7 linked regions of the Oryzias latipes genome follow. The protein of the gene in region 3 purifies or fractionates together with the protein of the main gene of each other region. This does not show direct contact. Links are inferred from orthologs where the notes say so. Each region holds a gene or a part of one and is shown on either strand. Other genes may lie near its edges. The genes, in order: ddx23, sart3, prpf4, snu13, cd2bp2, tut1 and mepce.

Region 1 (4,182 bases), on a different chromosome or scaffold from region 3:
CTTTATGTGCACAGCATGTTATGCATGCTAACATTTGTTAACTGTCAAACAAAAATCTTTATAGGATGGTTGAAATTATTCCTTAATTTAATAATAAATATGCAAACAGCTGAAGTCAATGTTCAGTAGATGCTACCATTTAAATTGCATTAGTCATGAATGCTAGTTTTTCATTTGGTGAGAAAAGAAAGTATGGATCAGGTGACTCATTAGCAGTGATTCATTTTAGTTTTAGGTGCTGACATCTTAAAGGCCCTATGAAAGTTTGTTACATTTTTTATTATAACTTTGGTGTTTTTCCACCAACATTTAAACAAGTTTCCATTAGGAAGTAAAAATCCCATTATTTCTGTATCCATATACATCATTGATGTTCTTTTAAGTAGCTGTGGTTTAAAGAAGCAGCCATCACTAATACAAATGTTTTTATATAAATTAGCTCAAGGGTCTTTAGTCCAGGGCTGCTACTCAGGTTTCTTAAACATTCATTCAGACATGTGTCTGGAGAAAGACATTTATTTAAAAAAAAAAAAAAAAATGTCAATTTTCATTTTCATAACATCTAACTGCTATTTTTCACATGTATACAATGTAGATCAGAGTCCTGCTCACTGATGAGACAAAAAATAAGGTGGGGAAAAAAAACTGGTAAATAACTAACCTGATCACAAAATCCTGAATGCAAACCGGGATGACATGACCCAGAGGTCTGAAGTGGGCTTTTTTTTCTCCTTCTTTTATTTTTTATAATAACATTTGACATAAAAAGATAATAATCAAGCAAAGATGGTCTCCTCGCGCCTTTTCTTGGTCAGGATGGTTCCAGGTTTGTGCTGAGCGTCTGGGTGGTTGGCCAGCTCCGGCGGGCAGTTGGAGACGGGACTCTCCAGGATGGCCTGCTTCAAGTCATAGAAGACAGCAGAGTCCTCTTTGGTGAGGAAAGTCATGGCCACGCCGCTCTTACCAGCACGACCGGTACGACCAATACGATGGATGTAATCTATAAAAGGCAGGAGAACGGTGAGTTATTCTTGAAAAAACAATGATAAAACAGCCAAGGGAAAAAACATTTACCTTCAATGTTCTTCGCCATGTCGTAGTTGATGACCATGGACACGTCGTGAATGTCGATACCACGACCAGCAACATCTGTGGCCACCAAGATATCTTTGGCTCCAGCCTTAAGGTTGGAGAGCGCAAACTCTCTCTGCTCCTGACCTTTGCCACCGTGCAGCGTGCAAGCATTGTACTAAAAAGATAAAGATGGTCATCAGCCCAAAAACAATACCAAGAATAACCTAAGTCGAATAACTGAAGATGATAAACACCAAAGTTACAAAAGCACAAGGCTTTAAAACTAGGATTTTTATGAACGATGTCACAGTTTTCCCAAAAAAAATCCTAATAAACAAGATTTTACAAAAACTATTTTCAAATCTGCCTTGTTGCTGATTAAAATTTGGATGGTTTATTAAAAATAAAACACACCCAAAAAAAAAACATTCAAACACAATGCATTGTGGTCAATACTTGCCAGTGACCATTGCTGCACACTGGTTTTATGCAAATTTCTGGGAAAATATATAGGACAAAACCAAGAATCAACCCAGTAACTGATGCTGGTCTGAGTGCGGTAACGTACCCCCATCTTCTCCAGGGACTTGGCCAACACATCGCAACCCTTCTTCTGGTTGACGAAGATGATGATGGGAGGCTCGAAGCCACTGGCCAAAACCTCCAGCATCTTCTTCCTGCACGGACGGGACACAAACACGCTCAGCAACCCCATGAGAAGAGGATGTTCGTTTCTACAGTCGGCGCCAGCTCTCACCTCTTCTCTCCCTCTGACATCAGCATGACCTTCTGCTCCACCCTCTCGTGAGGTTTTCCAGCAGAACCGATGTACACCACAGCAGCCCGCCTCAGGTAGCTCCTGGCCAGCCTCTCCACAGCAGGAGGCATGGTAGCAGTGAACATGACGGTCTGCAGGGATCAACAAAGACAGCTGATTGAGCTGAAGATGCCAGCTGGAGCAGAGCACAGCGGAGACACGGGCATACCTGTCTGTATTTATGCTTCCCAGATTCAAAGTTCATGGTCATTTTCTCAGGGTCTTCTGCTTCGTCAGTGTCTGGTTTCTGATTGGTCACTGGGATGTACTCCAGAATCTTTTGGACATCGGGCTCAAAGCCCATGTCAATCATGCGATCTGCCTCATCCAGAACCACGTAGGTGCAGCGGCCCAGGACCAGGTAGCGGTTCTCCAAAACATCGATCAGACGGCCGGGAGTGGCAATCACAATCTGTTCAGCAAAGACGGACAATTTTCACCACATCGATGCTTCGCTTTTAATTCTAGCTGTCAACGGTTTCTCCAATCAATCCTCTTCCAAATACCTCACAGCCCATCCGGAGTTTGAATCCTTGGTCCTCTCGAGAGATTCCTCCAATCACCGCCACCGTCCGAATACCGAGAGGTTTTCCAAACTTGATGGTCTCCTCTTCAATCTGCTGGGCCAGCTCACGAGTTGGAGCCAAGATCACAGCGTAAGGACCTTGATCGGAGTCTTCGATCCTGCCATGCGGAGAGCAGAGGGGCAGAACAGACAGAGGCAGATGACAAAACCGAAAATCAGGGGCAAAAGAGGGCAAAAATGTTGACATTTACGAGTTCGTTCCACTTCTCAAGGTTTACCTGTCAATTTTGGGCAGAGTGGTGATCCAGACCAGCAGTGGAATGAGGAAGGCAGCCGTTTTACCGCTACCGGTCTCAGCCACACCGATGATGTCACGGTTTTGTAAGCCAATAGGAATGGCCTGCCTCTGAATTGGAGTTGGTTCCTAAAAAATAAAAAAATTGGACACGATTTTAATCAACATTTTCCCCAAAGGCCGTGGTTTCGGGCAGGACAGACGGCGCCCTCATAATCCCACCTTGTAGCCGCATTTGTCGATGACCTCCAGGATGTGTGCGGGCAGCGCATACTCCTTCCAGTTCCTGATGGGGTTGGGGATCTTTCCTCCCTTGGTGGTGATGCTGTAATCCTCTCTGAAGATACGCCAGTCTCTGTCCGTCATCTCGTCCAGCTTCTTCTGAGACCAGTGCCTGTCATCCCAGCGCTGCTTGGCCTCCTTCTTGCGCACCTTCTTCAACCTTGTCCTGAGGGAGAGGAAAATCAAGGATTTTAATTATTCACCAAGTAACTTTCTTTTTCTTCGGGTTAGTTTTTTTAAGTACAGACGGTGTCATGGTTATCTCACTCTTCCTGCTCCTTCTCCTCCAGAGTTCTTCTCTTTTCCATCAGGTCGCCATAGAAACGAGACTGGTCTCGTTTCTGCTGCTTCAAGTCGATGCCGGCTATGAAGCCACGCCCATACAGCTGCACCTGATGCTTCTCTTTATATCTAAAAGGAAAAAAATATATATATTTTTTTTTACAGCCATGGAAATTAAAAACTAAACGAATGAGACAGGAGGGGGTTTGCAGACTCACATGGGATTGTAGTCCACGGATGTGTCTTCTGAAGCGTCCCACTCAAACACAAACTTCCTGTCATTGAGGTGGCGAGTTCTCCGCCGTTTTTTGATGCCGCCCAGGTAACGTTCCTATAGAAGAGTCAATCATTTTAACAGTTCTATAAAAATGTAACGACTGGACAAGAAAGGCTGAATGTACCGTGATTTCCGAACTATAGAGCATACCTGATTATAAGCCGCACACATTACATTTTTAAAGGTTAAACTATTTTGTACATACATAAGCCGCACCTGCATGTGCCCATATTGAAACGTGCTGCAGAATGAGGATGTGTATGTGCTGAAACCACGTGTGTGTGTAAGAAAAAGGGGAGAATTCGTGCAGCGCCAGAGGGAGCGCTCTCTCACTCACTCGTGCTCTGCTCACGCTCCTTCCTCTTACACACGCAACGCGCTGACACACACACATACTCATTCTACAACACCTATATAGTTAGTTCATTAGTTAGTAGTTACTGTTATTTGTTAATAAAGAATCGTGTGATGTAATTATTACATGTACCGGTATTCATTTGCGACACCTGGGGATTTTGTGTGTGTGTGTGTGTGTGTGTGTGTGTGTGTGAGGGGCAAACCGCAACACCTCAATTCCTGCTGCTTCATCACCGCAGTGATGAAAAATCCCACACCGTCACAGCTCTATT
Region 2 (3,990 bases), on a different chromosome or scaffold from region 3:
TTGCTGAAATGGGGTTAAATATGAAATTAATTTAGTGGATTTGGAGAACTCAGGAAGTTGTACTTTTTTCTCCTCCTTTGTGTTGTCCAAAAACAAGTGTCCACACAAAAAAATAATTTTAATACAAATAAATCCTAAAACAGGCAATCAGTTGTGTCACACTTTGTGTAATGTGATTTCAATGCAGCAATTGTGTGTATTCTACCATTAAATGTATCATCTACAAGGCAGGCAGCTCGAATAGGAAAATCAAACTTACTGGAACAATGAAGCTTGACTGGAGGGAGGCACAGTTCTTTGGCAATGTCTGAATTTTTAATCTTCATAGCTTCATCCAGCTACAGGATTTTAAAAAGTATGTTATTATGATCCTTAGATAAAACAAACAAACTTTTCGGAGCCTTTTTTCGTAACTCACCGACTTCCCCTTCACCCACTCTGTTGCTAGGGAGCTGGAGGCTATAGCCGACCCACAGCCGAATGTTTTAAACTTTGCATCCACTATTTTTCCATTTTCATCAACTTGAATCTAGGATCAATATTAAAGTAAATTAATAATGTATAAAAATCTGAAATATAACGTGTTTGGCCAAATTCAAGCTTACCTGGAGTTTCATTACGTCACCACAGGCTGGTGCACCTACCAAACCTGTCCCCACACTTTTGGAGTTTTTGTCCAAAGATCCCACGTTTCTCGGGTTTTCATAATGGTCAACCACCTTCGAAAAAAATTAAAAATATATATAATACGGGGTAGGTTACAGAGACACAAATAGCATGTCGCATGCATTAGCTTGTTCAGTTCAGCCACACCAACTACCGTTTTCGCAAAACTGGCAACTTTGTTTAAAATAAAAGCCGTGTATTTGTGCATTCAATGTTTTACCTTTTTGTGGTATGAGCAAAGTGACTTTAACTCCGGTCTAAATAGCCTGCTGCAAAACAAGGAAGGCAAGGACGCACAGTTTCGTACACTGATCATCGCCATGTTCACATTGCCGATTGTGAACGATGAATGCCGAGTGAACACGAGAGGTGCCGAACGCTGTTTGCTGATAAACATGGTGGACTTCGTGTTAACATGTCGAAAAAGCTCCATCTAGCGGTTGAAGTGGTAATTGCCAAACTTGCTTCTTTTTTTATGTGGCTCAGTGTTTTATTGAACCAGTCACCGTCAGTGTCACTGGCATGGAGACACACTTTTGTCCCGCTCATATTTTTGTAGTTATCCCCGTTCCAATTGCTCCCAATGACCGCAACTGTAAATTGTTTCTTAAGTTAGTTTGTCCACTCACGCACTCCGTAATCCTAATATTTTGAGGCACGAGCATAGCGTGAACGCGCACGTCTTTCACCGTTGGGACGGGGCGGGTTTTCAATAAGAATTGGCTGCTCAGGCTGCTGTTGCCAGGCAGACAGTATTTCCAACATGGCAGCGCCAGCTAACGCAGAACAAACGCAGTTGCAAGATATGGAGGAGGACGGAGCAAAGGTGGAAGAGAGGGAGATGGATTCAGACGAAGAGGAGGACGAAGAGGGCATGCGTGTCGAAAACTCAGACGAAGAAGAGGACGATTCTTCGGAAGACGAAAAAGAAAATGAAGCCGAAATCCAGCGGTTGGAAGAACAGGTATTGACATCATCAAGCAGTCATGCTTTAGCCGAGGTGCTAATATCAATGAATGAATCGCAAAGCCTATACCAAGAAGCAGTTATAAAACGACTCACTCATCAGCATAGTTAACTCTTCTTGACAAATAAATAAATATCATTTTTGTTAGCGAATCACACATGAAACGTTTACGATGTTTATATGGCAATCCTGCTCATTCCTGCTAACTGGTTAAGCTAGCAGTTATCGCGCCTTTTTATCCTTTCGGGATATTGTCATCATTACTCTTCTTGACTTTTAAAGAACAAACTGAGGGGTAGCCTGCACTGTATTCTGTACATTTGTCCTGTTTAGTATATAGTGAAAATAATGTTTATATTGTGCTAAGGAAAGGGTTAAATGATTCCTTTATCTGTACCCACTTAAGATTGCTTACTTAGACTGCACAGTTTGTAGTGTTTACTTTGTCTTTAGCTGTGTCCAAGACGGTCTTTGGGTTTATAACCTTTGACCTTTTGCTTATAATAAGGAGAACTTGGCTCATGTGTTTTTTTTTCTTTTAATACACAATAAAGAGGAATTAATTGGTAAACATTTGACAGCAAAGTTTTGACCGCTTGCTATTGGAGTCTTGCTTTATTTTTTTCTCTTTACAGTACTATGCAATAATAAGGTTACATAGCTTATAGAAGCTGCCTTATATTTTGATAATGTATTGCTACCAAATAATATTTTTTTCTGTGCTCATCCTCAGCTGTCTATCAACGCCTTCGACTACAACTGCCACGTGGATCTCATCAAACTGCTGAAACAAGAGGGAGAACTTATCCGTCTGCGAAAAGCAAGACAGAAGATGAGCGAACTTTTCCCTCTTACTGAAGGTTAGGTTATGTCTAACGCAGTTCCAGCACAGACAGAATACTAGCACTGCATTGTTTGTGACAGATATGTAAACGCCTCCTTTTTTGTTTCAAATTCTGCAGAAATCTGGCTGGACTGGCTCAAAGATGAGATTCGTCTGACAGAAGAAGAGTCAAACAGAGAAAAAGTCTATGAGTTGTTTGAAAGAGCCATCAAAGACTACATCTGTCAGTGCACCATGTTATTGTCATTTCCTTTAATCCAATGTTCAGTTATTAGATTGCCTTAATGTCTTTTGTTTTTTTTAACACAGGTCCAGAAATTTGGCTTGAATATGCCCAGTACTCAATTGGGGGTATGGGCTCACCAGGTGGGATAGACAAGGTGAGATCCATCTTTGAGAGGGCAGTGACAGCTGTGGGGCTTCACATGACAAAAGGACAGTCAGTGTGGGAGGCATACAGAGAGTTTGAGAACGCCATTCTGTCCACATTGCAGGTTTGTGTTTACTTTTTTTTTTGTCTCTTCAGACTCAAAATCTGGGTTTAAATTTCAAAGATGCTTTACTTAAAGATAAAAAAGTCTGCATCTTTAAACAAACAACTATAGTGTTTGACAGATTGGGCCAAATTTCATCTTTTTTTGTTTTGTAATCTTCTGTCAGCCTCCCCCTGGCAAAGTTCCCAGGAATGAGGAACAGGAGCTGATAAAAACCCAGCTTGAAAGAATTCACACACTGTTTCGCCGTCAGCTGGCCATCCCCTTAATGGGTAAGCAGCCAGATAAAATTCAAAATCTGAATCAGTGTTGCTATTTAAGTGTACCTTTTTTAGATGTCACCAGATTAAAATAGTTCTAATCTGTAAACCTTTGGACTTGTGTGCTTTTGTAGACATGGAAGCTACTTATGCAGAGTATGAAGAGTGGTCTGAGCATGGAGTGCCTGAGGCCGTCGCGCATCAGTACAAAAAAGCGTTGCAGCAGATGGAGAAGTGCAAACCCCTTGAAGAGGCTCTGGTAGCTGACCTGCACACATTTGGTTTTGAATCTGTCTTGAGCGACTTTTTTCTAGTTGTTAACATCTTCTTGCATCCGTCTGCTGCAGCTGGTGGCCGAACCTCCTAAACTGGCTGAATATCAGGCCTACATTGACTTTGAATTGAAGGTGGGGGACCCAGCACGGATCCAGATTACCTTTGAAAGAGCTCTGGCAGAGAACTGCTTGGTTCCAGACATGTGGTCTAAATGCACCAAGTATCTTGTGAGTATTGATTATTGTTCAGTCTATAAAGAATGAAATTTTTGCTATGTATTTGTTTTAGTTCAGCTGCCTGTTTCTGTTTATTTAGCATTTTAGTAAATTGGCCAATTAAGAAAGAAAAATGAAAACATAATTAAAAAAAAAGTGTTGCTTAGATTTTTGTCTTTTATTTTTGATCTTTTAGGATCGCCAGCTGAAGGTTAAAGACTTGGTTCTGTCCACTCATGAGCGGGCTGTTAGGAACTGCCCCTGGACC
Region 3 (3,500 bases):
TCACCTGATGAAATCAACAGTGTCACTATCGTAATATCAGGAGCAATCAGGTCTAAATGCATAGACACAATCAATGCTTATACCTTCCCCTCATGTCCTGCCAAGGTCTTCAACGGTGTCCAGCCGGGGTGACTCCAAACCTTTGCTGTGTTGTCATAAGCTCCAGTCAACAGAAAGTGACCGTCTGTGGCTGCAAACAAAAACACAAACTGAAGCTACACAAGAAGTAGTGTCCTTTTAAAAGAGACAGGAAGACTAAATTTTGTTACGTTGGAAGCGGACAGTGGACAGCAGGTTCTGGTGGGCTGGGACTGTGTACAGACACTTCCTGTTGCGCAGTTCCCAAACCTTACAGGTATTGTCACCACTTCCTGTTGCCAGATGATGCCTAACAGAGGAAAACACACCATGAAACAATGCTGTTGGCTGGTTAATGATGTTTTTTATCTGTAGATATAAATTATAGGATCATTTCATCGATTGGACCATTTCTTCTTTCATCCTATATTGACAGTTTCAGTCAACAGCTCTCTGTCTGGATCTGAAATGCAGCTGGCTGAGTTTTTTACAGAGAAGGAGGGTCTACGGGCAGGGATACCCAGTTTAGTTGAGTCTGTTTAGTTTAGTTTAGCAATCAGCTATTGAATTCTATCACTTTATGATTCATTACACAATTACCGATATGAAGCCAATTGAGACGACTTGTTGTAAATATTGGGCTATAGAAATAAAATTGAATTGAACTGGCTGACCCGTTAGGAGAGAAGTGCAGACTGTAGATCTCCTTCAGGTGTCCCTCAAGGAAGACAACACAGCGTCCTGTCCTCAGGTCCCAGACCCTTCCAAAAGAATCCAACCCTCTGAATGAACACCAAAGAGAAAGAAAACACATGAAAGGGATTACGGGATTTATGTGACTCCCATTTGTTGCACATCTTTTTACCTGCAATGTCTGTAAATAGCTTTTTTAATTATACCACATTATTGTTTACATTCATGTTGTTTTTCATTGTTTTATATTATTCTTTTTTTTAATCTTTTATCTTATGTTTACAATGCTTTCATTTACTGTAGCCTTTTTTTTCTCTTTTCTCCCAGCCCAGTAACAGTTTATAGTTTTGTGGGACAAATCATTCACATTTCATGTTTCGCTGCTGATAAAAACCCCGTCACAGTGGGATCAATAAAGTAATTCTGATTTTGAGTCTGATTCTAAATGTGTGTATTTGTGTGCATTATTCTGTTTCTGGTATTTTGATGGTAAACAATAAACTTGGCTGGGAGTATCGGACTATTTTGGTATACTACGAAGTGCACAAACTCACCCAGTAGCTACCAACGAGCCATCAGGGTGGAAGCTCAGGTCGTGGACTCCTTTGCTGTGACCCTCCTGATGGAGGATCTCCTCCTGAACCTCTAGGTCCCACAGACGCCACGAGTTATCGTAGCTGTGTACAGAACACTATCAAAACAGAGTACTGCAAACAGCTGCAGAGTACTCACTGCTGTGACCTACCAGGTTGTTCCCAAAAATCTTCCAGATGGATGCCAGGCCACTCGAGACACTCTATCGCTGTGACCCTCAATGTCTGCCACAGGTTCATCACTACCGCAACCACACAAAGAAAATACGTTGACGGTTTTATTTGAGACGTTTTGCAAGCCTTTAACTCCTCCGTCCCTTCTTCATGACACAATCATCTCCTAAAAACCACCTCTCCATGTTCCACAGTTTGACTGTTCCATCAGCAGCACATGAGGCCAAATTGACATCTGATTGGTCCAGAGAGACTCCAGACTGCGGGCGGAAGACGATGGCACCGACATTGGTGTTGTGTCCTTTAACCAATTGGAAAACAGGGCGTTAAAAGTTCAATTGATTTATTGGTGCAATGACTCCTTCACTGAAAATCAAATAAAAAACATTTATAGTTTTTAACCTAGACGTCAACAATTCTCACAAAGGTTAAAGGTTAATTGTGCTTCTGTGCACATAGAGCAGCCTGAAAGTTATTACTTTATTATAGAAAATAAATAAAAAATAATAAAACAAATGATTAATCAATTATTGAAAATGGTTAAATTGATTAACTTTTAATGATACTACTTCACTTGCTCCAAAAAACTGATAAGTTGATTCATGATTTTTCCTAATGTAACATAATTTTGGACATATTTTTAACTTGATACTTGATCAAAATTTTGCTATGTAAATTCCTGAAACAGTGTTATGTCCATTTTACTGATATAGTATTATTTTTTAATCATATCAATGACTTTTATAGGTAAGATAATCTGCATATATTTTGGATACTTAATTGCCATGTTGATTTCTAAAAGTTATTTTTTACAAAATAATTAAGTAATTCATCTTTGTCATGTGCTTTATTGATATTTGTTTTTTTTTAAATTCTGTCTGACAAAAGTTATGAACCGGATATTGATAAATCATGTTATAAAATGGTTAAGGAAGAACAGGGGTGGGATTATATAGGTTCGCTTCCTTCCACTCCCTTTCAAGCAATATTTATTAATATGTCTAATTATCCCAAGTTTGATTACTTATTGTATGAATGTATAACTGATGATTGTATTGTTGTTGTGTATTATTTCTATTTGATTGCTTGAAATAAACCATTTCAAATCAAATCAAAAAAAAGTTGAAGCTCCACCCACCTCGAAGTGTACGAATGAGGTTGCAGTCAGGGACTGACCACAGCTTACACAGCCCACTCCTGTGGGGTCAGCAGGTCAGAGTTAGTTTCATAATGAGCAGCAGGTCAGACGTTCAGAACAAGTCTGTAGGGTTCATTACCAGGACGCGGTGGCCAACATCTTGGAGTCGGGGCTGAAGTGGCAGAAGCTGATTGGCCGATCATCACCAATCTGACTGCAGAAGTTGTTCAGATTCTGAAGAAAAACATTGAAGTGTCTTTGACAGAACAGATACCGGATCCAAAGAGTCCATGTTGAAGGTAGAGCAGTGCTGCATCTTACTTCAAAAAAGTAATCCGTAACATCACCCAGACAGTAAAAAGTTAGTCAGAGCAGCCTTTCTTCTTTCAAATCAAATCACACTTTATTTCTAAAATGTGCTTCTTATTCTTGCACAGCTCGAAGCGGATTCTGGCAATGTTTTTGAGACGGTAAAATCCTGTCTTAACGACACTTTTAATGTGTGGGATAAAACTCAGCTCAGTCAAAAAGTACGCCCAGGTTTCTCACACACTAAGGTTTAAAGATGTGGTAAATTAGTCTCTTGTCTTTAGAACCCCTGATTAAAATTTATTTTTTGTTCTGGTTGAGCTGTAGGAAGTTTTCTGCCATCCACGGCTTTATATCTAAGAAACAGTTAAAAGAATGTTTATAGGTTTAAGCAGACACAGCGATGTAAAGCTGTGTGTCATAAGCGTAGCTGTGAAAGTCAATACCATATCTCAAGATGACGTCCCCAAGAAGAAACATTTATAAATTAAAAAGTATTGGACCTAAAATCTATA
Region 4 (3,680 bases), on a different chromosome or scaffold from region 3:
TTTAAAATTATTTTAATTTTAGTAATTTTATTAATCGCATCTTTAGTTTTACTGTGTTGAAAGATGAAATTCTGTTCACTGAACAAAGTTTATGTAAAAAAATAACCTTATTTCTGACAATTTCAGAAATGAGATAAAGGTAAAACGTTCTAAATGTTTTTTAAATAAATTGTAAGAAAAAAATTGTTTAGACCCAAAATTCTGTTTTTAAAATGAAAACAATGTATTGCAAAGCACTACTGGATTACACTTTGAATTAATTCTTTAATACTCATTTATTTGGTAAACATTTAACTTTGTACATTGTAGAGACGTATCTTCTAGAGTCCTTCAGTTTCAGACACTTGTTTTAAATTACATTTCTAACTGGATGAGATGCTTGGAAAAAAATGTTTAATTTCTATGATGTTTTTCTGTCTTCCATTTAAAGTCTCCTTGGTCTCCACTACTTCTGCATAAAGTAAACACTTCTTAAAGGGAAAAAAAATAAAACACAGGAATTACATTAATAAAAAATGTTTATTAGGAAATGATGTTGGTTTTGGACACTGATAGAAGCAAAGCTGCTATGATCACCAAAAAAATAAAAAATAAACACCTAAAAGTATTTTGTTAAAGTAAATAAACTCAAATGAGAACAGAAAATGAGCACAGAGATCACACCAGCAGTCTCTCGATTGCCATTTGGACCGACTGGATCTGCGGCTTGAGCTGGGATCCTTCCTTTATAGTGACGGAGGTGGCGATGACGGGACGCGACACGCCGCAGGCCCGGCCCAGCGCCTGCTTGGAGCGCACAAACACGTACGGGACGTTCTTGTCCTCGCAGAGCAGCGGCAGGTGGAGGATGATCTCCAGCGGCTCAGCGTCAGCAGCCATCACAATGAACTCCGCGATGCCTCTGTTCAGGGTTTTGGTCGCTGTGGAGGAGAGAGCAGAGTCGCCTCGCTGTCAGAACACAGGAAAATGTAAACAATATTAACAATAATAATATTACTCCAAACCCTTGGAAGGTTTGATGATATAAAGTGTCAGAATATAAGATGACATACAAACATTTTTTTTTATATCAGGATGCTTAACTATGAAGCAAAACGAAGACAAAATGGCGTTTTTCAAATATCTGGACAGCATCTAGAATCGCTTGGATTCATCTAGATCCTACAAATATTTGGCTTGTTCATTTTTTTTATTACCTCAGCTTTAAATTGACTGTTTATGAATAAAATGCATTTATTTGAAGCTTTTTTTAAACCAGAAAGTCCTGTTTAACACAGTTATGCAACCTTAATATCTCCTACTGATCGATTTTGTAGAAAGAATTAAAGAAATACGAATGAAATTCTGTTTCAATTGGAAAAAAGTGACAACAATTCATCTATGGATTAATTTCCACTTAAACATTTGACTTATTGAAAAATATTTGTGCAAAAACAGTTTTTTTATTGAATAGTTTATTAAATATTTTATACTTGTTTTCAGCTGTGAACAGCAGTTATGAATAAAAGGAGTTTAAAGCTAAACAGAAATGGAAATTTGCTATAAAAAATGTCATTTAACTCATTTTACTTTAGAATCAGTGTTTTAGCAGAGATGCAGCCCTGCATTCTCCAGCTTAGAGGGCTGTTTTGAATTTACAGCAGACTTTATGGGTTTTTTTTAGAAACACATTGGAGGTTAGAGTGAAGAGGGTCAACCTGCCAAAATAAAAGTTGCTTTCACAGGTAAGAAGCCTCCTCAGGATTTTTGCTCTGGTGAAAAATGTCTGCTGAAACACCAGATTCTTCTTCAACTCTTTCACGCTATCTACTCTTTCTGGTTTAGGTACATTAATCATAGGCTTTAAATATTGGGTGATTTTTACCGGAAGTGAGAGAATCAAGCCTACTAAGCGCTTTATTTTATTTCGTTTCATCATGATGTTTCACGAATTTTGTCGTTAATACAGATAAAGACTGCGATAAATCCCAAGAATATTACACCGATCAGCTAAATATTTCTCCTTTAATTCCCTTACCTTCGTTGGCCCCCTTCCTCAGCTGCTTGTAGTTGGAGGCTTGCTGCACCAAATCCAAAATAGTTTTGGTCAACGTGGCGTCGGCCAGCGGGTAAGCCTTTGGGTTAACCTCAGGTTCTGACTGTTGACAAAAAATAATAATAATAATGAAACACAATAATTACTTTAAATTTAGAATAGCCAGATTACAGCACCCCGCGTGCTGTTATCAGATGCTAATAGCTAGCGGCTTTCGTTAGCTTGCTAGCTCAAGACAAACTACACTCACCATTTTGATTTTCTTTGATATTCCGGCCCTCTCGGCGAAATGCTTCACGGAGGACTAATTCCTTTAACGGGATCGAAATAAGTATAGCGAACGCCAAAAGTGGTAAATTGCGTCTCAAAACCTTCCAAAGGCTGCAGCTCGTGCAAACGTTTACCCCACGTGTGTAGGTCTGCACATGCGCAATATGCACATCAGTAAAAGAAAAATGGTTCGCCCTCTTGAGGTCATACTTTTAACCATTGAACTGTTATTTAACCAGTTTTAGCTTTTAAATATTTACAATAATTAAAATATGATGATGAGTTAAATGAAAGTGATAGTTTTCTAGTTTACAAGAATTTCAACTTATTTTACTTGTGACAGCAGCTGCAGTTCCTTTCAAAATAAAATACCCCCTACACAGATCGGTTGTAGCAGATAAACAGATTCCGAGTTTACAAATAGAGTTAAAACTGCTAGACAGATGCACCCATAATTCGTTTTCTCATTTTACTATTGAATATAAACATGACAACATTGGGGCAAAATCCACTTTTTTTTAACCTGAACATCTGTTTGCAATTCTATACTTTAATTTTGCTTCTGAATAGCATCTAGTCATTGTTGATCAACAGAAATAAGGACTGTTGCTTTATGTGCATCATTTTGCTCAGTTTTCTAAATTTAAAAAATTATAAAACACAACTGTCAACTAAAAGAAATGAACCAAAACCACAAATCCATTATTTATGTTAGTATTATCATTAGCATTTTTTCTTCAAAACCAAAGAGCCACAATGAAAGATTATAAGAGCCACCTCGGCTTGCAGATGATATCCCTATGTTAAATAAATTAAAAATTGAGAGCACAATTTATGTAGAATCCAGATAATGTTGTGTTTGCTCTGAAAAAAATAAGTTACTTCTTTTTATTTTATTTTTCAAATAACAGAGTAAAACTTTAATACTAAAGCACTTTTCATATACCAGCATCATTATTATTATAACGCTCTTCTTTCTGGTGCTAAGAAAAAATACAATTGATTTTAAACGGCACACATCTTAACCACAAGCAGACAGTGGAGTTTTTTTTTTTTAGGAAAAAACCCTCAAAACTCATCTTTTCCACTTTGCTCTTAAGTAGTTTTTACATGTTTGAATATGTGTGTGGGCTATTATTCTTGTTTACAATTTATTTATTTAATGTAAATCACTCTGAAGTGTTTGTAACAAGAAAAATGCTCCATAAATAAAGTTGAATTTGAATTTTAAATACTTCTTCTCCTGAATGGAAACATCCTTTCATTGTTGTGTGATGTGTTTCGTGATGAAATTGTGAAATTGTTCAATTATCGCAAAATTAGATATTTTTGTTAAGAAAATAAACCTATTTACACGAGCAAAATGTCCCGTAAA
Region 5 (3,948 bases), on a different chromosome or scaffold from region 3:
TCGTCCACCCAGCCCTGGAAAACGAACAATAAGAAGATTAAAACCCCACCAGGTCCAACTGAGGGTCAGAGCTACTTTACAAGTCAATAATCTGGCAAACACGGTGGGATTTACTGCTATCTTTACAGAAAGAGAGCAGTTAAAATTCACTTAAAAAATAAATAAACTTTAAAAGGTAGACATAAAATGCTGCATTAAAGCTGCACAGATTTTATCATTTTTTGTAATAATGTCAATTATGACTTCACTTAAATATCATTTAAACATATTCTGTATCCTGATTTTATTCAAAACAATGTATAGGAGTAACAATAATTACACAATTCTTGTACATTAGGCGTCAAATGAACTATTAGCTGACAGATATAGACAAAGACACCACTTTCTAATTGTTTATATTAAAACACAAAAGGGAGATTAACAGTTTAATTTTGCACAAATCCCATAAGAATAATTCTTCATGTACAAATTTGAGGGGAATAACCTGCATCTGCTGGCTGGTGAAGGGGCCGTAGACCTCTGTGTTTTCCTTGTTGTCCCATTTGTACTCCCACATCACTTCATCCGTCACTAAAAGTTCAGAAAGATCGATCAAATAAGTTACATTGCATGTGACGACAACCGAAAATCTTCAAATGTTTCGCCAAATTACCTCTTTTGTCTTCCTCATCCTCTTTGTCTTCTGATTTTTCCTCAACTTTCTCATCAAATTTGTCGCCAAACATGTCGAGTTCATCCTCATCGTCACTACACCTGGTTCTCTGCCTGTCTGCTGGCTGCTTGCTCGTCATCCTCTTCATCAAAAATCCTAGTTTCTCATAAGTGTGCTGATAGATTTCAAACATCCCTGATCCAACCAGTCTGTCAGCGAGAGCTGTGAGCTTATCCAGCTTCTCGGCATCTCTTTTGTTCTCCTTTGTGGGTTCGTTCTCTTTCCTCAGCTTCCCCTTCTTCCCCCCAAGGCCTCCTAACCGACGGAGCGCCGTAGCAACCGTTTCTCCGGGTTCCAATAACTCAACAACAGCTTCAGTGAGCTGATGCTGCGTGTAGGATGCCAGGGGGTCCTCTACAGGTGTCTCCTCCTCCTCCTCCTCCTCTTCCTCTTCCTGATCACCCTTGTCTACTTGCTTTTCCTCCCTCCGCTTTTCCTCCTCAGCCTCATCCTCATCACCAGCTCTGCGCACCCGCTTGGCTCCCAGACCTTTCTTCTTCTTTTTGAAAGGCTGCTCTCTTATTTTTACCTGTAATAAAGGAAGATGTTTCATTCATTCTCTCTTGACTGAAAATACGCCATGTATGTGTTCCTAAAACTAGTTACCCAGTCTATGTTGTCTAGCCAGTTGTCTTTAATCTCTTTCTCCTTTTTGATGAAATAGTTTCCCTCTGAATCGAAGTGACCTTCCTCCATCTCCTCTTCTAGGTTAAAAGGTGTAATAGATACTCCCTCATCATAGTCGATAGTTGCTCCTTCTTGACCTGAAAACACATTTTCTGACATTAAAACAGCTTCCAGGGAAAGTTTACGAAAGCACTATTAGCATAAAGGACTACTTTGTGCAGGTAAACAGATATTAAACATCTTGGTTTAAAATTAAAGCACCCTCACTTATATTATTTTTCAAAACAAACAAAAAACAAGGCTTACCCTCCACATCATCGCTGGCTAGAATGTTGTATTTGCTGTGTTTTGATTCTCCTCCTTCGTCCTCTTCATCACTGTCTAGTGAATGTTTGCCCTTGAACCTGGAACCTGGTCCACTCACTGCCTCACAGCTCTGTTTCAACAAAACAAAGTCATAGGGATGGCACTTAGAAACAAAAGCGAAACAAATGTATTTATTTTGTGATCGATGCCCCCAAAAAAAGCATAACCTAAACAGTAAAACAAGGTCATGCTTCACCTAAAAATAGGTGTTTTTATTCTTTTACATTCTATCATTTCTCAGATAATAAAAAAATTACACAGGTCTGCCATATTTTGAATTAAACAAAGTGTCCACTTAAGCTAAAAATAATCTCAGTTCATAAGTTACTGGAAAAGATTTCAAATGACTAATAAAAGTTATAACTTATTAGTTATGCAAATGCCGTTTTAGAATATATCAAAATAAAGTAAACATCTTTAAAATAACTGTACTAATATTTCAATAGAATAGTGGAATGAAAATAGTGCATCAAATAAAGGCCAACAGCTCATCATGAGGAAAACACAGAAATGAATGACGCAGCACAAAACTAAAATAAAACACGCGGCACTTAATTAGTACCAATACGTAACAAATGATTACTTATATAGTTTATCCAGATCAAAATTCAGGAAATCAAAGGCTAAACTTTTTTAGCAAAACCCTGACAGATCCTCCGGCTTTACCTTCTTCGTGAGCCCGTCGTCTTCCAGTTCAAACTCTTCGTTCCCGTCCTGAAATGTCACTTTTCTCTTCGACATGGTGCTGGAGAAGACAACAGAGCACCACTTTTATCCACGCAACTACACACCCACAAGTGACTGTAATAACACGCACGTTATTAGCTTTGCAGCTAAGTGTTAGCAAACAACAACACGGAGAGCATGCAGAACAAGTAAACGCCTCGCCACCAACTGCGACTCGATATACGAAAGGCATTCAACATTATGTTGGTCAACATAATGTATAAACAAATAATAAGTATAAATGACACAATAGAACAGATAGGGAGAGCGTGGTAAAAAACCTGCATAAATTGTCAACGTTCGCTTTCGCTTCTTGTTTGACGGAAATCTAGATTTTATTGTTATTCAACAATGGCGGAATGACGCAACACCGCCACCATGTGGTGTGGAGGGTAACAGCTGTTATTTTCAAAGATAAAAGCGTTGAGGCTGGCTCAAAAATTACATTTTGTTTAGGATTCATTCATCTTTTGTTATCCGTTTTTTTTAGCAAACTGTCTTTATTTACCACACCCTTTTTGAAAAACTGCAGTTGTGAATAGTTAAAGCAGGAATAATTTTCTGTAAAACTGTTAATAAATCTAGAAATGAGAATTCAGAGAAACAATATTCGATTTCAGTTTTGCTCTTTCAGACGTCATTTTGAAAACTACACTTTGAATAGAGCTATGTTTCATTTTTGTAGATTTAATGCTTCTCCCTAAAAGCCATTAATGCTATTGAATTTATAACTAAGTCTTTTTATTTTATCATTTTTTAAAATAGCTCTTTTTTTATTTGTGATAGCACACAAACAAAATAATTATTATTAGATCTGCATTTTCAATCGTTTGCATTTTTAATCTTTTATTGTATTAGTTTTTAAAAGCACATAAGGAAAATGCACGGGATTTATGCACAATAGGAACCTTATTAGGAAAGCTGCTCAATTTAAAAAAAGATTTTGTTATTTTCCATGGCAACAAACACAAATCCTTACCAGGAGTTGAAATTATTCTATAAATATAGAATCAGAAGCTGATCTAATTATAGCTTTAAAAAAAGTGGAAAAAAAACCTAGATCAATAAAAGTGGTGCTGTTTTTGACAGGGAACTGAATCTTTTCAGTTATTTTCCATCTGCCCACAGCAGAGTCAGTCGCCTTAAAAGCAATCATAAGGAAATCACATCATAAAAGAAATAAAAGGAGAAATGATGGAGCCAAGGCAGTCAACTCCACCACAGCCACTAGAATCTCACTTCTTGACAGTGAAGCAGGTCGCGACTGCTCAGTTCCCAGGAGCTCCGGGCAGACTCAACAGAGAATATAACGTGTCAGGGTATTATTACCAGGAAGTGGGTTGAGTTATTTATATTTAAACGCTCGTCCTTCGGTGCCCATGAGGGAACCAGCTTTAGTAACTTAATGCTAAATATGAAAACATTGTCTGGGCTGGTCGAATCAACCTGACAGCAAACAACCGCCTTCATATTTAACAACAACAAAAATTAAAACATAATGTGTCGATCTGAATAAT
Region 6 (4,087 bases), on a different chromosome or scaffold from region 3:
ACCTGCAAAACCAAGGAGAGGAGGACGAAAAGCAAAACAAGACGCTGAAAGTGTGGCTGCTGCACCTTCTACTGAAGTACAAGAGCCTCTCCGTGTCTCCACAGACAAACCTGTGAGAGGAAGAAGAGGGAAACGGGTCCCAGAGGACGCCGTCACTGCTGAGAGCCTAGAGCTGGAGCCTGAACATCAGGAAACCACTGAAAAAGTCTGCAAATCCAGCAGAACAAAGAGAGAAAAGGCGGCCCAAAATGAGGTAGCAAAAGCCACCCCAGTTAAGAGAGCTCAGCGAGGAGCAGCTCCAGCAGGTGAGACAGCGGAACAACTCACTCTGTCTGTACCAGAACCGGCTCCAGGTGTCGCTGCCCCAAAAGCAAAGAGAGGAAGACGGGTGGCAGCAAAGCAATCACCTGAAGAGGTGAGCAGTGAGCAGACGAGCCCTGCTGAAGAAGAAGGCAAGCCTGTGGTGGAGGAATCAAAGAAGCCATCGCGGTTTGTCTCGTGGAAAGCAGATCTGGAGATCTGTGATATTCCAAAAGCACTTCCTGTAAAGGCTGCTCGTGGTAGGAAGTCAAAACTCAACGCTCACAATGAAAACAAAAATGTCTCTGATGCCGACGCGGCCAAAGGGGAGGAGCTCTCAGGGGACGCTGTCCAAACTGTGCCCGCCAAGAGAAGCAGGCGAGGAGTTCATGGCGGCGATGTGGCGGCGGCTTCCACAAGCAAGAGTGGTCTTAAAGAAAATGAACCTCAGCCAAAAACCCGACGAGGAAGAGCAGCTAAGAAATAACTGTCTTTGTTAGTGACAGTTATTATTCTCCCGTTTTTGTAATTGCAAAGTATTGTAGAATGTAGTTTTGGTGACTGAAAACAAAGCACTGCTTTATTTGCCCGTTCAGCAGGGACTTGTTTTTAATTCTTTTATCTTTTTTGTTTTTCTATCCTTTTTATGTCTGAGGGGAAAAAATATTTTACTGTTGAGCAGGGAGAGGGGTCTAATAAATTTTTGTACTTGATTGGAATTATTGGTGTGATTTCTTTATTGTTTTTATAGTTTGAAACTCCCCAAAAAGGGGTTAATATCAAGTGTATATTATATTATTTATTAGAAAAAGGCAAATCTTTTTATCTTCAATTTGGGAGATTTTTGACAGATAAAACAAATATTTTATGTGGTGTTAGAAAACATGAGATGTTTTCTATTTGTATTTATTATTTGTTGGAGAATTGAGAAAAACCTCAAGTTGATTTTCGCGTTTGCGGAACAGGAACGTTTACTGAAAAGATATACAAACCACCCGGACACATTTTGGAGACGGACCGAACGCAAGCCCAACGCTGGAGGGAGATTTAAGAGGCGCGTGCAAGCACGAAGGCGGTTCCAAACTATGTTAATGGTCCCAGGACCTGCATTTTAAAGTCCAGTTTTAGTTATTTTATTTAAGCATCATAATGTCGTCGGACGGCGATATAAAGACAACGCCGAGAGGCTTTCAGTGTGTTCTGTGCAACGTCAACCTACCTAATAGTGAGTTAACGAAGCTAAAGTGGGTTTTTTTCGTGGTGCCTAGTAGCTAGTAACACACGACAATTTTCTTTTTAAATAGTTACCCGAACAGTTGCTCAACCTGTGGAAAATTGTATGTATTTTTCACAAATTGAACGCTAATCATTTTGAAAATGCAATTTAAGTAACCTTAATAAAGTTCTTTTTCATATTTTATGGAGTTTACCTCGGCTACAGCATCAAGTCCCACATATTTTGGGGGGGGGGGGGGGGGTCGTATTTTAGTGCTGCACCGTAGTTTTATGCTCATGGTGGGCAAAACTTTCCTTCACCAACCTGCAACTGTTCATCCTCATTCATGGTGTTTGGCGTGGTTGAGATCAGAACTGCATGCATTTCTTACCCAGCAAATAATACTTTGATGGATGCTACTTTTCATACTCAGATAGGGAACGGAAATCATGAAGCCCTTAGTTAGAGTTCGTTTCACTGGAGCTAAGGGATCATGCACAGGTCCTAAAGTCAGCCCCACACCATGATAAGCCCTCCACCAAACATTGAACTGGATTCAATGTGATCAGCAGACAAAGTTCTCCTTGCAACCTCCAAACCAGAAACCGGGGAATCAAACTGGAATTAGCTGAAAGCAGCTCAGTCTTTCATACATTTTTGTATGAAACTCGCCTATGTTGATGATTTAAAACCCTCTGTTTATGAAAGTGGTTGGAAAAACCAAATTCAGTCATTTGGATGGGTGGTTAAGTCCTTTTGGCAATATAGTTTTTATTCTAAAAAAAAAAAATCAATAGAGCAATGGAAGAAACACCAGTATCAGTTGAAAACTACAGATACAAACAAGACAATGTTTAAAATCGAGCAGGAAGTAAATAATTGGTTTTTGACTCTTCCTGTTGAGTCTGCCTTTATATAAATAAGTGACGCAAACAAGAAGACGTCCAATCAAAAAGTCGGTTAACTTACAATGGGTTGAAGGTGAACCACAACGAGGGATGTGTGTGTGCACGCTAAACGTGTGATAACCTTTTGTTTCACCTAAAAGCATGGCGTCTGTCTGACCTGCAGTGTCCAGTGTGGATCAGCACGTAAAGGGGCGGAAGCACCAGACTCTGAGTTCTGTTCGAACCACCAGGAAAACCCACGAGGAGCGCAGCGTGTTTGTCAGCGGCATCAAGCCTGAAGTCTCTCAGTCTGACCTAACCGAGCACTTCCAGCAGTTCGGGCCGATCGCTGATGTCATCATGGATAAAGAAAAGGTCGAGGCGAACCACGGTTTGAATGGTCAGGGAGACTGTGAGAGTAATTTCTGTCTTACTGGCTTTGCAGGGAGTGTTTGCCATAGTGCAGTTTGCTGAGACTGAGAGCGCACACGCTGCTCTGACCTGTGTGGAGCATCTGATGAAAGGCCTGAAGCTCAGAGTTAAACCTCGAGAGAGGAAGGAGTTCAAGTTGATTCCAAAGAAGAGGAACGATGCTCAGAGCCTGGAACAAATGTTTGAGCGTCTCAAACCCGAGCTGTGTCAGCTGCCGTCCGTGAGAACCCGACACTTTACGACACTGGAAACACACCAAAGCAAACCTGACAAACATCTGCTTTTGAGGGTCAAACTGAAAGCTGCTTGTTCCCCGGCAGGTGGACGCTCAGATGCAGTACGTGGTGGAGCGGCTGCAGCTGGGAGAGAATGAAAAGAAGGCTCGCGAGTTGCTGGTTCAACTCCTGCAGGAAATCTTTGTTGAATTTTTCCCAGGTATTTCAAATCAAGTCAAACTTTATTTATAAAAAGCAGTTCTCTTGTGTTGTTCGGCTTTAGAATTAAAAACAAAAACATTACACATACGCCCCATGACCCCACACACAGGGAATAGGAATTAAACTGATGGTCTGACTCTGCTGGGAGGAAACAGGATATCGGGAATCTATTCGTACCAGGAGCCAGCTCAGCCATAGTAACATTGCCACAGTGCCCACCTACACCGGGACGGCAGCACGGGTCATTTAGTTTTTATGACATGAAGTACAGCAATTGTTCTACTTTTCTTTGCAGACAGTGAGATTTTGCCGTTTGGCTCTTCTGTCAACACTTTCGGAATCCACTCCTGTGATTTAGACCTTTTCCTGGACCTGGAGAACACAAAGACGTTCCAGGCCCGGGCCAAGTCCACCACAGAACAGGTTCGTCTGGGTTTGGTCCCGAAAGCCCTTCCGAGTGGATACGGGCGAAAGATGGCCAATTCTGTGCGGGGCGAGTTGAGAGAAAATGTTTGTGAAAGATCACAACACATTAACTCACAACACAACACATTAACTCACAACACAACGCAAGTGCATGCTCCTTGCACTAAGTGCATGCTCCTTGCACTAAGTGCATGCTCCTTGCACTAAGTGCATGCTCCTTGCGTGCACCCAGACTGTTAGAAATTAGGAAAATCCACCATCATCCACCGGGCGTCCTGCAGGCACATCACCTGCACGTGCTGCAATTGCGTGCTGTCAGTTAGGTTATGACTAGAGTGTTGCACAACTGCGTGCAACTTGCATGATTCTTACAAATACTTCACGTTACA
Region 7 (4,045 bases), on a different chromosome or scaffold from region 3:
AGGATCTCCACTGGATCTCGACTCTTTGCAGGAAGTGGAGAGGATTTTGGTGTCTCTGCGTTAAGTGCCCTGTTGACCTCCTCATCCAGGAGGCTGTTCAGATTAAGCGGGTCAAAAATGTTGCCACCCAAGAGAAAGTTGGTGGGCAGGACAGAGTCACTCTCGGAGATGGCTCTTCGTCTCCTCTTGCTCGATGTGGGATGTTTGAAGTTAGAACTGGCTGTGTAGCGCCGCTTGGTTAATTTCGTTTGCTGTTGCTGTTGTTTGGAGTGAGGGAAGCTGTTCCTGCGATTGATGCTGTTCTCGCTCCCTCTGGCTTTTTGTCCCGCGCTGTCTGTGCTCGTGTGCTTTGGTGAGGCTGCAGTGCCCGGGACAGGACAGGCAGCTGCAAAGTCATGCGTGGCTGCATTTTCCTCCATCATCACGGACACACTGCTGTAACCTCCAGTACAGTCTGAGAGCTGCAGAGATGGCGTTGACCTGGCCTCTAAACTGCCAGTTTTTATGGCGTCCTCCTCGACAGACATCTCTGTTAGTTTCCAGAACTGTTCATTGAAACTTGTTTGTCCTTTGTCTGAAAACAAGGAAGAATACAGCTGTTAAAGGACCATCTGATCTCTTATAATCCCTTGAATAAAACACCGTAAACATTAAATTAAGTTCCAAAAAAGTGCCAAAACAACCGATAGGTAGATTTTTGTTTAATTGCATTACAAAGAATGCAAAAAAAAAAGACAATGATAATTGATGTTTTTGCCAACAAAAACTTTAAATACCTAATCTGATGAAAGTTTTTGTGGCGTTTTTCTAACAATGGAGGACAAGTATAAAGACAATATAGCTAAAAATTTTGTTTCTGAGTGTTCCTTTATTCCAGTTGTTCCAAATCAGGGGCAGATGAAAAATGCCATTGGAAAAAGCTTGAAGCTGTGATGTGAAACCTACAACGACAAGCAACAAATTTATTCATCCTAGATAATGATATAGGTTGTTTTTTTTTGGACTAAAAACGACAAAATTTTAATTAAAAGACCACTGAGAACACTTTTTAAAATAGACTTTAAATAAGTAAAATCATAATTTGGGATGTCATCTGCAACATGCTTTGGTCAAAAATGCTAGTACAGACAAAACATCTTTCTTTTTTAACCACACTGTTCCTGCTTGGTTCATGGTAGCATATAGAGGGAGGTTCCACCCGTCTCTGCTGCTCTACCTTATCAGAGATACATAAGGTTTATAGCATTTGTGCCACCTGATTAGAAGGCACAAATATTCCTCATGCACTTCCTAACAAAACTACATTCAAACTTAAACTAACAGAGAAGGGACAGAAGGTCATCATATTCTCCAAAACCAAAAATACACCTTTAAGATGTGACGTTGCTATTGTTGTTGCTATTGTTTTTGTGCCTGTGTAGAAGAAACATGTTTGTTCTTCCACTATTCCTACTGTTTAGAGCCTAAAAGAAAGGTTAATGCTTTTGTTGTTGTTTTCAATTGAAGAGTTAACTTTTAAAAAAAAAAAAAAAAAAGATGACAATCCTATATTTGTATATCTACAACTTCCTGGATAAACATTTCTGCAACTTCATAATTCATTATCAGCTTTACATTAAAAAAATAGATTTGGATGTTACCAAAACTAAAGTTTGAAGTTCTCAGAAAGTGGTTTTATAAAACTGTAGGATATTGTCATGATGATGTCATTTGCAAAAAAATCCAAACAAAATATTTGGATTTTCAGTGTTTTCGGTTTTAGCCTTATTTTAAAATCATGCAAACTGCATTATCTATGATTGATAAAAAAAAAAAGAATTGATTTGAGATTCATCGACATTGTTTTAAGGAAACTTCAATCTGTTCTTTATGGTTGCATGCATTAAAAGTCATCTGGGGAGTCAGTGTGCAGATTCTGGCCTCCATAATTAAGTCAGGAAAGTAATAAGATGGACAAAACGAACAGCAAATAAAATCATAAAGGAGAATCCGGGCATATTGAATATATAAAACATATAATTTTCTTAATAGTAAATAAATTACTTTGTTTTTAGCTGAGTGTTGCATTTTATTATATTAATTTTAAAGGTCCTACGGTCCGCGGCAGATTTTTCGTTAGCATTGCCCTCCTGACAGGCTGACATCTGAAGCGTGTCCACTCGGAGGTTGCTGACCTGAGAAGTTTCTGAGTCAGAGTCTGGAACAGTAGTTTGGGTTAGCATGCTAGCCCTTAGCTCCTCCATCGTGGGCCAGAGCTCTGAAAACGTCGCCTAAACGTTTAGCTCTGGAGCAACAGTGGTGATAAATAAACGACCAAGTACCCACCTTCATGCGCTGACGGGTGAATCCAGAACAAAAATAAACAAACAAATCCCAAGTCCGGTACGGGAAAGTGATACTATGTCCCAGATGGCCGCCGAACAGTGTGGTCACCGTCAGGATCCCAGTGTCACCCCGCGGTGGTGCTCTCCCCGCCTCCGGCCGGGCCGTCTCCACCCCGCTCTGCTTCCACTCAAGCTAACGTTAGCCTAGCTAGCACCCCAGTGTCTCCGAGCCCAACGGCGCTCACGGTTTACACGCAAAGCACGGCCTGTACCCCACTAGGTCTCTCTTGTTTCCCCCACTGCCTTGTCGACTTGTTCGGTCAACTCCAGGCGGACAGTTTGGTGAATAAATGACAGCATTCGCTGACGAGAGTCGGCATGGCGGCGCATCCGGGCTTCGAGTTGTAAGCTTAACGTGACCGGGGCGGAGATCTGTGAGCTCGCGCAAGGTAGTGGGAACTCTTTGCCATTAGATTCAGACCCCTAATCCCAGAAGAGGCCGCGAGCGAGTGGAACTTTTAATGACAGTCAGCAAACACATTTTAATGAACAAACTTGGCCATTGTTTTGGTCTAAAAACGGGACTATAAAGGCACAGATGCCCAACAACACAAAGTAGGTCCACATTGAGCAATTCTGCGGCCCTGACCACCCTCCCACCACCTCATCCTTCATCCATCATTTTAACAGTAATCTCTCATCTTCAGTATATTAGTAGCACTTTTTAAAGCATAAAATAAATCTTATTGTCAAGAGAAAAAAATTATAGCAATACCATTAATTATCTTCTGTCTGTCTGTCTGTCCGTCCTTTAAGTGAAATAATGTGATAAAGTGCTTAAAAGTTTGGAAAAAGCAAAATTTCTAATAGTAATAGATTTAATTTCAGATCTGTAATTGAACGAGAGTATAAAATAATACTGACTGTCAAACACCTCAACAGTGTGTGTTTAGATTTGTTTAATCTTTTGCAGCAGCAGTCAAATGAATAACCTTTGCTTAATTCTAAGTCATGGAACAGATCCACAAGTGGCCTCCTCAGTAACCTGCTCACAACTTTACTTTGGATTTTCTTGAAAGGAAGATTCTTAGCAGAATTTCAGATTGATGTAACCTTTTACATTAATGCATGATCGCTGCTTATAAGAAATTGGCCAAACAGTTGTGAGATGCTGTCTGATACAAAGCTGTGAAAGTACAATAGTTTCCTGTAATATTTGTAACTATCTAACTTGGGAAAATAAAGTGAATTTAGGAGTTATGAACTTTCTCATCATTTTATATTACATTTGTTTTCTTTTTGTAAAGGGCTATTTCTTGATTTATAACAGCTTTCTTTTACGGCAGCAAATTTCAACACTTTCAAGCAAATTCATTACAGTTAGCAGCCTGAAATGCTTAGTTTGAAGCCAAAAGACATTTTAACACATTTTTAAAAAGTGTCTCAAATTTGACATTTAGCTGATGTAACAGCTATTTCTAAATTAAATGACCACAATTAATTTTTCATTTTACCACGCATGAAGTGATATTCATGCTAACACAAGCACAACTTTCTAAGTAGCAAATGAAAACATTAAATATTTGCTTTGAATAACTTGTTTTTTTTTCTTCCAAACCCTTTTTTTTGCATTTGCTACACAAAGCTCTCCCTGTATTTTGATTGAAAATCATCACTCTCAACTGTTTATAGATCAAGCCATGTGATTTTCTGTCTTACAG

What was found.
Region 1: the proteins of prpf4 (region 3) and ddx23 purify together in Homo sapiens (affinity purification with mass spectrometry; 4 studies listed by BioGRID and IntAct, counting the BioPlex papers as one, with this or other methods). This does not show direct contact. The link is inferred for Oryzias latipes from reciprocal best matches to the Homo sapiens genes PRPF4 and DDX23.
Region 2: the proteins of prpf4 (region 3) and sart3 purify together in Homo sapiens (affinity purification with mass spectrometry; 5 studies listed by BioGRID and IntAct, counting the BioPlex papers as one, with this or other methods). This does not show direct contact. The link is inferred for Oryzias latipes from reciprocal best matches to the Homo sapiens genes PRPF4 and SART3.
Region 4: the proteins of prpf4 (region 3) and snu13 purify together in Homo sapiens (affinity purification with mass spectrometry; 4 studies listed by BioGRID and IntAct, counting the BioPlex papers as one, with this or other methods). This does not show direct contact. The link is inferred for Oryzias latipes from reciprocal best matches to the Homo sapiens genes PRPF4 and SNU13.
Region 5: the proteins of prpf4 (region 3) and cd2bp2 purify together in Homo sapiens (affinity purification with mass spectrometry; 3 studies listed by BioGRID and IntAct, with this or other methods). This does not show direct contact. The link is inferred for Oryzias latipes from reciprocal best matches to the Homo sapiens genes PRPF4 and CD2BP2.
Region 6: the proteins of prpf4 (region 3) and tut1 purify together in Homo sapiens (co-immunoprecipitation; 3 studies listed by BioGRID and IntAct, counting the BioPlex papers as one, with this or other methods). This does not show direct contact. The link is inferred for Oryzias latipes from reciprocal best matches to the Homo sapiens genes PRPF4 and TUT1.
Region 7: the proteins of prpf4 (region 3) and mepce purify together in Homo sapiens (affinity purification with mass spectrometry; 4 studies listed by BioGRID and IntAct, with this or other methods). This does not show direct contact. The link is inferred for Oryzias latipes from reciprocal best matches to the Homo sapiens genes PRPF4 and MEPCE.

The regions. Positions count from the first base shown.
Region 1 is NC_019865.2:19,110,139-19,114,320, reverse strand, and holds the end of ddx23 (probable ATP-dependent RNA helicase DDX23), read right to left. Parts: intron 3,608-4,182; coding exon 3,495-3,607; intron 3,406-3,494; coding exon 3,262-3,405; intron 3,161-3,261; coding exon 2,935-3,160; intron 2,842-2,934; coding exon 2,696-2,841; intron 2,576-2,695; coding exon 2,398-2,575; intron 2,304-2,397; coding exon 2,061-2,303; intron 1,984-2,060; coding exon 1,832-1,983; intron 1,752-1,831; coding exon 1,643-1,751; intron 1,250-1,642; coding exon 1,075-1,249; intron 1,001-1,074; coding exon 777-1,000; 3' UTR 501-776; downstream 1-500. UniProt on the Homo sapiens protein: Involved in pre-mRNA splicing and its phosphorylated form (by SRPK2) is required for spliceosomal B complex formation.
Region 2 is NC_019867.2:12,885,934-12,889,923, reverse strand, and holds the start of sart3 (squamous cell carcinoma antigen recognized by T-cells 3), read left to right. Parts: upstream 1-1,190; 5' UTR 1,191-1,429; coding exon 1,430-1,630; intron 1,631-2,366; coding exon 2,367-2,493; intron 2,494-2,595; coding exon 2,596-2,700; intron 2,701-2,786; coding exon 2,787-2,971; intron 2,972-3,137; coding exon 3,138-3,243; intron 3,244-3,365; coding exon 3,366-3,490; intron 3,491-3,578; coding exon 3,579-3,734; intron 3,735-3,918; coding exon 3,919-3,990. Other genes in the region: iscu (iron-sulfur cluster assembly enzyme ISCU, mitochondrial), read right to left, coding at 260-338, 419-529, 606-719, 887-988. UniProt on the Homo sapiens protein: U6 snRNP-binding protein that functions as a recycling factor of the splicing machinery. Promotes the initial reassembly of U4 and U6 snRNPs following their ejection from the spliceosome during its maturation.
Region 3 is NC_019870.2:25,895-29,394, reverse strand, and holds part of prpf4 (U4/U6 small nuclear ribonucleoprotein Prp4), read right to left. Parts: intron 2,911-3,500; coding exon 2,816-2,910; intron 2,736-2,815; coding exon 2,677-2,735; intron 1,840-2,676; coding exon 1,716-1,839; intron 1,607-1,715; coding exon 1,517-1,606; intron 1,449-1,516; coding exon 1,326-1,448; intron 861-1,325; coding exon 753-860; intron 389-752; coding exon 270-388; intron 191-269; coding exon 84-190; intron 5-83; coding exon 1-4. UniProt on the Homo sapiens protein: Plays a role in pre-mRNA splicing as component of the U4/U6-U5 tri-snRNP complex that is involved in spliceosome assembly, and as component of the precatalytic spliceosome (spliceosome B complex).
Region 4 is NC_019877.2:3,754,733-3,758,412, forward strand, and holds snu13 (NHP2-like protein 1), read right to left. Parts: upstream 2,487-3,680; 5' UTR 2,289-2,486; coding exon 2,286-2,288; intron 2,139-2,285; coding exon 2,018-2,138; intron 921-2,017; coding exon 658-920; 3' UTR 501-657; downstream 1-500.
Region 5 is NC_019866.2:3,948,470-3,952,417, forward strand, and holds the start of cd2bp2 (CD2 antigen cytoplasmic tail-binding protein 2), read right to left. Parts: upstream 2,801-3,948; 5' UTR 2,713-2,800; exon of another isoform or gene 2,451-2,712; 5' UTR 2,447-2,450; coding exon 2,372-2,446; intron 1,776-2,371; coding exon 1,646-1,775; intron 1,477-1,645; coding exon 1,319-1,476; intron 1,242-1,318; coding exon 653-1,241; intron 571-652; coding exon 485-570; intron 15-484; coding exon 1-14. UniProt on the Homo sapiens protein: Involved in pre-mRNA splicing as component of the U5 snRNP complex that is involved in spliceosome assembly.
Region 6 is NC_019877.2:4,404,446-4,408,532, reverse strand, and holds the start of tut1 (speckle targeted PIP5K1A-regulated poly(A) polymerase), read left to right. Parts: upstream 1-1,287; 5' UTR 1,288-1,449; coding exon 1,450-1,525; intron 1,526-2,587; coding exon 2,588-2,778; intron 2,779-2,848; coding exon 2,849-3,055; intron 3,056-3,155; coding exon 3,156-3,270; intron 3,271-3,567; coding exon 3,568-3,695; intron 3,696-4,087. Other genes in the region: proliferation marker protein Ki-67, read left to right, coding at 1-787. UniProt on the Homo sapiens protein: Poly(A) polymerase that creates the 3'-poly(A) tail of specific pre-mRNAs. Localizes to nuclear speckles together with PIP5K1A and mediates polyadenylation of a select set of mRNAs, such as HMOX1.
Region 7 is NC_019872.2:14,592,797-14,596,841, forward strand, and holds the start of mepce (7SK snRNA methylphosphate capping enzyme), read right to left. Parts: upstream 2,801-4,045; 5' UTR 2,326-2,800; intron 575-2,325; 5' UTR 528-574; coding exon 1-527. UniProt on the Homo sapiens protein: S-adenosyl-L-methionine-dependent methyltransferase that adds a methylphosphate cap at the 5'-end of 7SK snRNA (7SK RNA), leading to stabilize it.